Linked DNA regions of Callithrix jacchus. Each later gene encodes a partner of the first gene's protein in a complex. Links are inferred from orthologs where the notes say so. Each region holds a gene or a part of one and is shown on either strand. Other genes may lie near its edges.

What was found. The genes of interacting proteins can lie anywhere in the genome.
Region 2: the proteins of SLF2 (region 1) and SIMC1 are in contact, whole or in part, in a cryo-EM structure (PDB 7T5P), measured with the Homo sapiens proteins. The link is inferred for Callithrix jacchus from reciprocal best matches to the Homo sapiens genes SLF2 and SIMC1. Residues at the interface, in NP_060591.3 of Homo sapiens: His738, Val772, Leu775, Lys778, Asp783, Phe786, Gln790, Gly791, Phe792, Thr794, Ser795, Ala796, Tyr797, His798, Tyr799, Cys820, Ile821, Gln825, Ser828, Met831, Glu832, Ile835, Arg836, Asp838, Thr839, Ser841, Asp842, Ser843, Pro847, Lys919; in NP_001295125.1 of Homo sapiens: Tyr426, Arg428, Leu431, Lys435, Leu438, Pro440, Val442, His443, His444, Leu445, Phe447, Gln448, Arg470, Arg471, Phe490, Asp493, Pro497, Val521, Asp522, Lys525, Glu526, Tyr528, Met529, Met532, Lys533, Gln536, Leu537, Arg571, Asn658, Gln661.

What each region holds. Positions count from the first base shown.
Region 1 is NC_133513.1:93,841,452-93,847,308, forward strand, and holds part of SLF2 (SMC5-SMC6 complex localization factor protein 2), read left to right. Parts: intron 1-2,912; coding exon 2,913-3,898; exon of another isoform or gene 3,899-4,407; coding exon of another isoform or gene 4,408-4,413; intron 4,414-4,872; coding exon 4,873-4,943; intron 4,944-5,857. UniProt on the Homo sapiens protein: Plays a role in the DNA damage response (DDR) pathway by regulating postreplication repair of UV-damaged DNA and genomic stability maintenance.
Region 2 is NC_133503.1:70,919,294-70,925,150, forward strand, and holds part of SIMC1 (SUMO-interacting motif-containing protein 1), read right to left. Parts: intron 3,612-5,857; coding exon 2,229-3,611; intron 1-2,228.

The DNA of each region.
Region 1 (5,857 bases):
TTGAGAGGACAATCAGACTTCCAGTGGCCTGTCTGCTGGCAGATGGGGCAAGGGCTTTTTGGCACCTGTGGATTGGGACATGCCTGCCCCCAATGGCTTTCCTTGCTGCACTTGAAACGTGCCCTCAGAGGTGTACTGCTATCAGCTCTTTTGTGCCCCTGGGTGCCATAGCCAGGCTGTTTAGGTTGGCAAATGGCTGCTGATAGAAGCTGGTATTTAGCACGATCTCTTTGGGCCTTGTTTATTTTACTTCGTTTATCCCTGTTATTGAAGACCTTGAAGGCCAGGTTAAGGAGGTCTTCTTGTGGGGTTTGAGGACCATCTGCAGCCTTTTTGAGTTTACGCCGGATGTCTGGAGCAGACTAGGAGATAAAATGAGTGTTAAGAACTATGATGGCTTCTTGAGGGTAGGATTAACAGGGGTGTATTTTTGGAGGGCCTCTGTAAGGTGGGAAAGAAACTGGGCAGGATTTTGTCTCCCTTTTGGGAAACTTGAGTTTTTCAAAATTCATAGCCTTATGGGCAGCTTTGTTAAGGCCTTCAATTAGGCAAGTAATTATGTGGTTATGGGACTCTTGGCCTGGATCTGTGGGCTGGTATTCCTAGGCTGGCTTTCCCCCGAATGGTGGCAGCTCCTACAGGCTTAGTAGGATTTTGCCAATGAAGATTGTCAACAGGTGCCTGGGCTGTGAGCCACACTCTTTCCTTCTTTTTTGGAAGGAGGGTAGAAGAGAGGATAATACAGAGATTATGCCAAGTGAGTTCATAAGACTGGATAAGATATTTAAATTCTTTGATGTACGTGTCTGGATTGAAGGAGAAGGACTCGAGACGCTTTTTGATTTGGGAGAGATCCGATAGAGAGAAGGGGACATGAACACGGACAATGCCTTCCATCCCTGCCACTTCTCAAAGAGGGAGTAAGGGAGCTGGCTGTGGGGGATGCCAGGTCCTGGAGCAAGTGTGGGCTAGAGATGGAGAGGAGTCAGAGTCGGAAGCAAGGTGATTGGAGAGAGGAGGGGACAAGAGGAGAGCTGGAGTTGAGGCGTAAGGCGGTCCAGGGTGTCCTGGTGGAGGCTCGGGGCATTGGCTGGGAGGAGGGAAGTCAGCTGGGTGGAAAGAAGATGCATCATCCCCCACACCGTGGGAGGGTTTGAGTCGGGTTTTGAGTGGGTGAGGGGAATTTGGAAAGTAGAGCAGGACTGACAGAGAGAGGGGTAGTTCCGGAGAGTAAAGAAACCCTGAACATAAGGAACCTCAGACCATTTACCAGACCGAAATTGTCAAGGTCCCGGAGAATATTGAAATCGAAAATACCATTCTCAGGCCACTGAGAACCATTGTCTAATTTATATTGGGGCCAGGCCATATTAGAATAAAAAGTTAATCTTCTTCGGCCTGACTTCAGACTGGAGACCAAGGGTGTCCAAATTTCGGAGGAGGCATCCTAGAGGGGTAGTCTTAGATGGAATGGACTGTCTGGACCCCATAGTGAAAGGCCGGAAGAGGAGGAGGCTGCCGAGGAGAAGGAAAACAGGAGAGAGCGTCCTCTGCCCTGTTTTCTCTACCTGAGGCAGTGAATTCGAAACAGTCGCTGTCGAATGAGGCGTCCCCAAGGTGACAGGACCGGTCCCTGGGGCTGGAAGGGTGTCCTCAGCCTAGCGCTGGAACTTTTGGACAGAAAACGGTCATGGAACCTGAACAGAGGCAAAACCTCTATTCAGCTTACCGCTGGGAGGTGCAGATGGAGATAACCGCAGTTGGCAATGGAGGTCTGGGGTTTCCCTCCTGGGTCTGGAAAGGGGTTCGGAACGGTGAGGCTGGGGTGGGGGGCGGAATGAGAGCAGCCAGCACCTACTCCCGTCCCAGGTTTCAGCACCAAAATGCAAGGTTGACCAAAAGGATGGAGAGGCAGACCTAGGGTCAGATTTAGCAAGTTCATTTCCACTCCCAGGCTGGCTGCCTCATCACAGGCAGTGAAGGCAGGAGTCTGGCTTACAGACTATTGGGATTATATAGGGGGGTTGCAGGTAGCGAGGTGTTATTCTAAGAAAAACCGCGTCTTGGTTCTCCAACATTCTGCTTAATTAGGTCAACATCCTGGGTTCAAGAGCTGGGTGTGACCACATCCTGGAACGTAGGTGCCCAGTTTACAAGGCTTGAGACTTGTTTTTGTGATGAGCTCGGCTTAGCAGGGGAGAACAGGGAGGGGATCTATGGGCTTGCCTTGCTGTGACCCTAACAAATAGGGCCATGATGTCTCTGGCAACTCTAGGGGAGAATACCTCCTTCCCTGTTCTAGCTTCTGGTGTTGCCTGCAATCTTTAGCATTTCCTGACTTACAGCTGCATAACTCCAGTCACACAGCATCTTTTCCTTATGCATTTTCCCTTTGTATTCCCTCTGTGCATGTCTGTCTTTGTCTTCAGATTTTCCCTTTTGTAAGTACACCAGTCATACCGCATTGGGACCCAACGTGATTTTTTTTTTTAATGAGAAATTCACATTTATCTGCCTTCAACTACTTATTCTATATGTGTTTAAATGTAGAAGTATTACATTTCTGCAACCAGGTAGTCCTAGGTTTAAAAGAATTTCTACTTGATGGAAAGTGCCTATGGAATCCTTAACTTGGTACAGGTATGCAGTTGTTTGAGGGAGTGGTACCTTTAATTTTCATAGCTTTGGAATGAAAATAAGAATTTGTCATTAGTTTTAAATTTCTTGAACACCAGTATTTATCCAGTTGATAACATTTACTCTTTTTCTTTATTCCATGTGTGGTGACTAATCTCTGCCTTAATACTTAGAATTTTAAACATTTCATTCGGGTGTTCTAGACACTCACTGAATAAACTTTACTAAAGTTGGAAAGTATATTTTTCACTAATCTAACAAAAATTAAATTTTAGCAGGCTCTAAGCAGAATAAATTCCCTGACAAAAGAAAAAGGAATTCTGTGGACTCAGATCTGAAAAGCACAAGAGAATCTATGACACCAAAAGCAAAAGAGTCCTTCCTTGAGAAGCGTCCTGATGGACCACATCAGAAAGAAAAATTTATAAGACATATTGCACTGAAGACACCTGGTGATGTGTTGCGCTTAGAAGACATATCCAAGGAACCGAATTATGAAACTGATCGCCCTTCTGCAGGCTTGGCACCTTCAAATTCTGGCCACCATTCTTCCAGGAATAGTGACCAAATCCGAGTGGCAAGTACCAAAGAGACTAAGATGCAGAAACCCCACTTACCTTTACCTCAGGAAAAATCTGCAGTTAAAAAAGCTAGCAACCTTCAGAAAAATAAAACCGCTAGCTCCGTAACATCAAAGGAGACAAAACTACCTTTACTTTCCCATGTTCCAAGTGCCGGTTCCTCTCGGGTACCATTAAATGCTAAAAATTGTACTCCTCCAGTTTCTAAAAGAGATAAAGAGCGTTCCTCATCTAAAGAATGTTCTGGGCATTCTGCAGAATCCACCAAACACAGGGAACACAAAGCAAAGACTAATAAGGCTGATTCTAATGTATCTTCAGGGAAATTTTCTGGGGGATCTTTGCGCTCAGAATATGGCACTCCTACAAAGTCTCCCCCAGCTGCTTTGGAAGTTGTGTCATGTATCCCAAGCCCTCCAGCACCTTCAGATAAAGCCCCTTCAGAAAAAGAGAGTTCAGGAAATTCTAATGCGGGTAGCAATGCACTGAAAAGAAAACTAAGGGGTGATTTTGATAGTGATGAAGAAAGTTTAGGTTACAACCTAGACAGTGATGAGGAAGAGGAAACATTAAAATCACTGGAAGAAATAATGGCTTTGAACTTCAGTCAGACTCCTGCAACTACAGGAAAGCCTCCTGCTCTTTCCAAGGGGCTTAGATCCCAGTCATCAGACTATACAGTAAGTAGTTCTGTGACGTTTATCTTTACTTGAAGAGGGGAAGATGATTAATTAGTGAAAGGGTGAATTATTGGAACTTACTTTAAAATTTAATGTTTATTGTAACCCATAATTGGACTGAAAATGGAGTATTTCTTGTTTGGTAAATGAGTTTCCATTATCTTTAGTTTTATTACTGCAAATCAGTGGTCTCCAAACTCTTTTGATCACACACGTCTGTGAGTAAACAATTTTTGAGCATGTACCCCAACATGTGTGTATACCTTTAGATTATATATATGTACCACTATAATACTGTGTACTTTCTAAAGCATATGCAAAAACAGAATTTAAAAGGAAGAAGAAGAAAAAAATAACTATTTTCCTATAGAGCTATGTAGAAGTTACTATAGACTAAGTTCTACTGGAGTTTCTATAGAAGTTCCATATAAATAGAAGTTCTATTATTTTCTTCCTGCACCCCAATGGATCACCTTGCACACCCCCTGCTTTGGAGACCACATCTGTAAATGAAGGTAGAGTGTAGAAATGTTGTTGATTGTGGTGTGCAATTTTATTTATAAAGTGCTTCATTCTATCTTGGGAATAAGCTGAATTCTAGGATGTCTGTAAAATTTGGTGGGGAAGGTGTTACTATTCCGTAGTAACACCTAAAAATGAGTAGTTTGATTCTACTAAAATCGAATTTGAAAGTAAAGACAGGGTAGCCACAGCATTCTTAAGTGTTTGCAGTCAGATCTCAAAGTTAGCAGGGTTTTATAAGTACTTTCCTAATAGGTGGTAAAATCTAATTGTTCTTTAGTGCAAAATAGTAGATTTAAAGCATGGTGATGAAAATTATCCTTTAAGAAAGGTGTTATCCTGGCCCAGATTATTGAAATAGAAAATAGTCTTTACTACCCTTAATTACTGAAAACATCCCAGTTCTACTGAGACATGTTGTAAAGTATTTCTAAATTTTCTTCTTGTTTTAGGAACCTGCTCATCCTGGAACTTACACAAATACCTTAGAGCGTCTAGTGAAGGAGATGGAAGACACACAAAGGTTTGTTAGCATAAAGATTAATTTTCTAAATTTAACATTCTGCTTCTGTGGCTTACTTTTAATTTACCTTTTTGAAAAAATCATGAGAAATTAGCATGCATTTTAGGCTAGTATCATTTTGATAGTTCTGTTGTCAACTATGTTAGGGCAAGATATGTTGGCCGGACACAGGGGCTCACACCTATAATCACAACACTTGGGAGGCCCAGGCAGGAAGATTACTTGAGCCCAGGAGTTCAAGGCTGCAGTGAGTCGTGATGGTGCCACTTCACTCCAGCCTGGGTGGCAGAGCGAGACTCAATCTCAAATGAAAAAAAAAGAGGCCAGGTGTGTTGGATTACTAAAGTAATCCAGTACTTTAGGAGGCCAAGGCAGGAGTTTGAGACCAGCCTGGGCAACAAGGTGAAACTCCATCTCTACAAAAAATACAAAAATTGGCCAGGCATGGTGCCACACACCTGTGATCCCAGCAACCCCACAGGCTGAGGTGGGAGGATCACCTGATCCCAAGGAAATCAAGGCTGCAGTGAGCTGTGATTATACCACTGCACTCTAGGCTGGGTGACAGAAGGAGACCCCATCTCAAAAAAAAAATGAGATGGGTTTTCTTGTTCATAGACTGGATCAAAAGATCCAGGTTTTTATAGTATACTGCACTAACTAATGATATAAATTCCTTTCTGTTTGTTACAACTAGTACCTGGTAGCTGAAATTCTTGATCGAAAGCATGGGTAGAATTTTGTGTGTGTATGTTTTTTGTGGAAAATACATATAAAATTACCATTTTAAACAGTTTTACATGTACAGTTCAGTGGCATTAAGTACATTTATAGGTTGTGTAACCATTACCACCATCTAGCTGCAGAACTTTTCATCTTTCCAAACTGAAACTCCATACCCATTAAACAGTAAC
Region 2 (5,857 bases), on another chromosome or scaffold:
ATAAATTCTGAACTCCTATTTTTATTTTTATTTATTTATTTATTTATTTTTATTGAGCTGGAGTTTTGCTCTTGTTACCCAGGCTGGAGTTCAGTGGCATGATCATGGCTCACTGCAACCTCTGCCTCCCAGGCTCAAGCTGTCCTCCCACCTCAGCCTCCTGAGTAGCTGGGACTACAGGTGTGTGCCACCATGACCAGCTAGTATTTTGTATTTTTAGTAGAGGTGGGGTTTCGCCATGTTGCCTAGGCTGGTCTCGAACTCGTGAGCTCAAGCTATCAACCTATCTTGGCCTTCCAAAGTGCTGGGATTACAGATGTGAGCCATTGTGTCTGGCCTTAAGCAATTAATATTATTTTGAGACAGGGTCTTGCTTTGCCTCCCAGGCTGGAGTGCAGTGGTGCGATCTCGGCTCACTGCAACTTCTGCCTCCGAGGCTCAAACAATCTTCCTGCCTTGGTCTCCCAAGTAGCTAGGACACAGGCGTGTGCCACCACATTCGGCTAATTTTTAAATTTTTTATAAAGGGGGTTTCACCATGATGCCCAGGCTGGTCTCAAACTCCTGGGTTCCAGCAACCCACCTACCATGGCCTCCCAAAATGCTGGGATTACAGGCGTGAGCCACTGCACCCAGCAATGAACACTTAATTTATTCTCAACTAGTTCTTACAACAATCTTAGGAAATACGTATCATTTTTATTCCTATTTTATAAATAAAGAAACTGAGATTTGGAGGGTAAGCATTTGTCATACAACAAATGGCAGAAGCTGGTTTCAAACACAGGTGGCATAAACCTCAGAGCCATTCTTTCAACCCGTACTCCCCATAAACAACAAAAATAGTAAGTGTATATGTTAAAAACCCAATTATTAAACTATATAAAATGCCTATGTATAAAAAGGCAACTGAAAAGGAAATACATCAAGTTATTCATAATAATAAATACTGTCTGGGCCGGGCATGTTGGCTCACACCTGTAATCCCAGGCTGCCTCCCAGGCACAAGCCCAGCACTTTGGGAGTCTGAGGTGGGCAGATCACCTGAGATCAGGAGTTCAGGACCAGCCTGGCCAATATGGCGAAATCCTGTCTCTACTAAAAATACAAAACAAAAAATTAGCTGGGTGTAGTGGCAGACACCTGTAATCCCAGCTACTCAGGAGGCTGAGGCAGGAAAATTGCTTGAACCTGGGAGGTGGAAATTGCAGTGAGCCGAGATTACACCACTGCACTCCAGCCTGGGCAACAGAGTGAGACTCTGTTTCAAAAGAAAAGAATGAGCTAGTGGTCAGGCAGAGGCATTCAGAAGGAGGACATAACACATATTAGAATACATAATAATTTTAAAAAAGAAAAAAATCATTCTCTAAGCTCAAATCAGTGTGAACACTTGGATCCTTCCTACTTGGATCACTGCTTCAATGAGGCGAGTTTTGACTTTGACAGTGAACTGTTTCAATCTGGTTTTCTTAATATGAGGGATGGGATGTATACCACTAAAAAAACAGTTCATACTGTGGAACTTAGCCACAATTATTTTCCCTCACATATCTAATTTATTTCTCACAAATCAATGACGACCAATGGAAAGTAGCATACCCACTAATGTCTAAAACTGAATTTCCTCCCCCAGAGTCAGAGTAGTAATTTTGGAGGCCCTTAAGTGATAGAGTATTATTATCTCTGTGGTATGGAAGCTGTAATAGGGGCATCAGGAAGGGAAAGACATAAGAGTTGAAGATATTTATTTTTTTTTTTGAGACAGAGTCCTGCTCTGTGGCCCAGGCTGGAGTGTAGTGGTGCAGTCTCAGCTCACTGCAACCTCTGCCTCCGGGATTCTAGTGATTCTCCTGCCTCAGCCTCCTGAGTAGCTGGGATTACAGGTGCATGCCACCATGCCCAGCTAGAAGGTAAGAATTTACATATAAGATGAGCCCAACACCCTGGTACTTTACATATATGACCCTGTGAGGTATGTTATTATCTCCACTTTACAGATAGAAAAGCTAAGGCTCAAAAAGGTCAAGTCCCAGTTTTTAAGTGTGGGGCTAAAATTTGAACCCAGATCTGAGCTTCTACACTGAATGGGTCTTCACAAGTGGAAGAAAGATAAAAATTTTCATTTATGCTTGACCTGTCCTCTCATGCATGTACTCCAGTCACACTGACTTTCTCCCAGGCTTAGGAAAAGGACATCTAATCCCTAGGGGAAGATGTTAACTCACCTCTCTTGTGTCTTTATCTGGTATTAGTGTCTGGAAGAAGAGATGATGAACTGGAGGTCGTAAGAAGTACTTCAGTCTATGCAGGCATGGTCTGTTGTACAACCCACCTTGTGGTGTTCGTGCTTGTACATGGGAAAACCCAGGTTTGGAAGGCTCTGACAGTGATATTTCTTTTCTGGCTGGGGTTTCCATGACAGAGAGCCAAGGAACTTTCTCTAAGGAAGTTTCAGACTGTGGGGACTGTGGGCTGGGAGAGCAGCTTGGAGAGGATGGAGCTGAGATATCCATAGGCATGTCCTGGTTCTGTATATCATTCTGGGTAGAGTCAGGCCTGTCTCCTGGAAAGTGAGGCATGTCTTGAGGTGAGTGTGGCACCTCCCCTGATGAGTGTGGCATGTCTCCAGGTGAATATAATACATCTCCTGTAAAGTGTGGCATGCCCCCTGGTGACTGGGGTGCATCTGGTGATGGTGGAGCATCACCTGGTGACTGTGGCACATCTCCTGGTGACTGTGGTACATCTGGTGATTGTGGCATATCTCCTGGTGTCCGTGGCACATCTCCTGGTGACTGTGGCATGTCTTGCAGGTATGTCACATCTTGTGGATGTAATATCCTTTGAGGTGGGCCTGGTACAACTTGAGGAGGTAAGCCCAGAGAGTCTTGAGGTGGGCTTGGTGAGTGCTGAGGATGCCATAATGAGTCTTGAGGTGGGCTTGGCATACTTTGCTGAGGGCATGACACTTCTTGAGGTGGGTGAGTTAGAGCTGGCACTTGGCACTGCATGGTTTGTAATGGGCATGACAAAGCTCGTGGTGGGCAAGAGGAGGCTCGTGGTGGACATGGTGAGGTTCTCAGTGGACACGGCAAGGCTTGTGGTGGGCGAGGCACATCTTGCTGTGGGCATAGCAAAGGTGCCCTTTGGCTGCTGCTGCTGCTACTATTATTGCTTGTTGGGGAGAGGGAGCTAACATCTGAAGACAGCTGTAGGCCTGTCAAGAAGCTGAGGTTACCAGTGAATGTAGCTGAGCTACAATTAGGCTCCGTTGGATAAACAGAGCCTCCACTGATGAATGTAGGGGGTAGGGGACCTACAAAGTTTTCTTCCACTAGGTCCAAACATACAGGATGACTGTTAATGATTCTTTGTGCCGTAGGCTGCGAGCTTCTGTCCACCTGCCCTTCCAACACCTTTTTGCCGGAGAGGCTGGCACATGTCTGAAGACTGGTTGGCTCCTTCTGGGAAGGAGTGACAGGTTCTAAAGTTAAGTCAAGAGTGGCAATAGGTCTATTTTCTTCCTCAGCTCTTGTCAGGTCAATCACACAAAGTCCACTGTGATCTTTTGGCCTTGGTCTGGTCTCTCTAGTTAAGTCAATGAAGTCCTGCAGAAGGATTGTGAGAACAGAAGAGGCCAAGATGGGAGTATTAGCTTTATCTGAGATGACTTAAGTCTTAGCTTTTAAGGATAAGCATTACTTTACCTTTTCACCTCACCGATAAGTTACACATCTTGTATAACATAAACAATAGTTTATTTCCTTCGGTGAACATTTTGGTATTGCCAAAGCTATCAATTTCTTTCTTTTTTTTTTTTTTAGATGCAGTTTCGCTCTCATTGTCCAGGCTGGAGTGCAATGGCGTGATCTCAGATCACTGCAACCTCCACCTTCTGGCTTCAAGTGATTCTCCTGCCTCAGCCTCCCAAGTAGCTGGGATTACAGGCATGTACCACCAGGCCCAGCTAATTTTGTATTTAGGGATTTCTCCATGTTGCTCATGCTGGTCTTGAACTCCTGACCTCAGGTAATCCACTCTCCTTGGACTCCCAAAGTGCTGGTATTACAGGCATTAGCCACCGCGCCCGGCCCAAAGCTGTCAATTTCTATACCTTCTTAAATTCTCCAAATGCCACAGGCAGATGACTAGCATCATAATGGGATTTTTTTTCTGGTCCAAGGTGGACAGGGGAGTAGTAGGAGATATTCCAACCTTAAGTCACAAAGCAAAAAGCAACCTTTGTTTGCTAAGTCAGATACACAGGATAACCTACAACAAAAGCTAAGTAAGAAGTGTGGCAAATGTAAGAGAATCTGTGAACTAAGAACAAGTTCAGTATTTTCATGTATCTTTAATTTTCACAATGACCTGATAAAGTAGGCGTTATCAATCCATCATACGGATGGGGAAACTAGAGTTTAGAGGGGTTAGATTATAATCTTAAGATTATACAGCTAAGTAGCAGAGACAGACATTCGAACACAGATCTGTGTCCTTTTTTCCCTGTGAAGGCCTAGGAATGCACAACTTGATTCAATATATAATCAGTAACATTTTTAAAATCCCTGATCAATCTAGCTAGATATTTATCAACTTTATTGATCTTTTTCATCTGTTTTCTATTTCGCTTATTTCTGACTTCTTTATTATTTCCTTCTTTCTACTTTGGATTTAATTTGCTCTTCTTCTAGCTCCTTAAATGGAAGCTTAGGTTTAGACCTTTTTCTTTTCTAACATTAACATTTAAAACAAAAAATTTTACTGTAATGACTACTTTGGTTTCATCCCACAATTTTAAAAAGCATGTGATTTTTCTGCAGGACATCAATATGTAGTCATTTTATTATCATGTAGTTCAAATTTACTTTTATTATGGTCAGAAAATATACCCTGAAAGATTTTAATCTTTTGAAATACACTGACACTTAAGTCCTAACACACAGCCTACCTTGGTGAATCTTCCTTGTGTACTTAGGGAGAAAAAGTGTATTCTGTATTTGTTAGTTACAGTTCTATAAATATCAATCAGGTCATGGTAGTTAATAGTCTTTTTCAGATCTTTGATTTCTTTACTTTGGTGGGGGAGTATACAGTTACATTACCAATTACTTAGTGAGAAGTATCCAACTATGGCTGTAGCTTTGACTATTTTCTCTCTTAGTTCAGTTGTTTGCGTCATGGATTTTGCAACTATATTTATTAGGTGCATATACATATATAATTCTTATAACTTCCTAACATATTAACTCTTTTATCATTATAGATAGCACATACTTGGTTCTTGCTTTTTTTTGGGTCTAGTCAGACAATCTCTGCCTTTTGTTTACAATTTTGGTCCATTGGGCCGGGCATGGTGGCTCACGCCTGTAATCCTAGCACTTTGGGAGGCCGAGGCGGGTAGATCACGAGGTCAAGAGATCGAGACCGTCCTGGTCAACATGGTGAAACCCCGTCTCTACTAAAAATACAAAAAATTAGCTGGGCATGGTGGCGCGTGCCTGTAATCCCAGCTACTCAGGAGGCTGAGGCAGGAGAATTGCCTGAACCCAGGAGGTGGAGGTTGCAGTGAGCCAAGATCGCGCCATTGTACTCCAACTTGGGTAACAAGAGCGAAACTCCGTCTCAAAAAAAAAAAAAATTAGCTTGGCATAGTGGTGCACGCCTCTAGTCTCAGCTACTTGGAAGGCTGAGGCAAGAGGATTGCTTGAACTTGGGTGGTTGAACTTCGGCTTGAACTTCGGCTGCAGCGAGCTGAAGATTACACCACTTCACTCAAGCCTGGGGGACAAAGTGAAAAAAAAAAAGAAGAGAAAATTTATTGAATTACCTAAGGTAAAACTATAGAAACCTT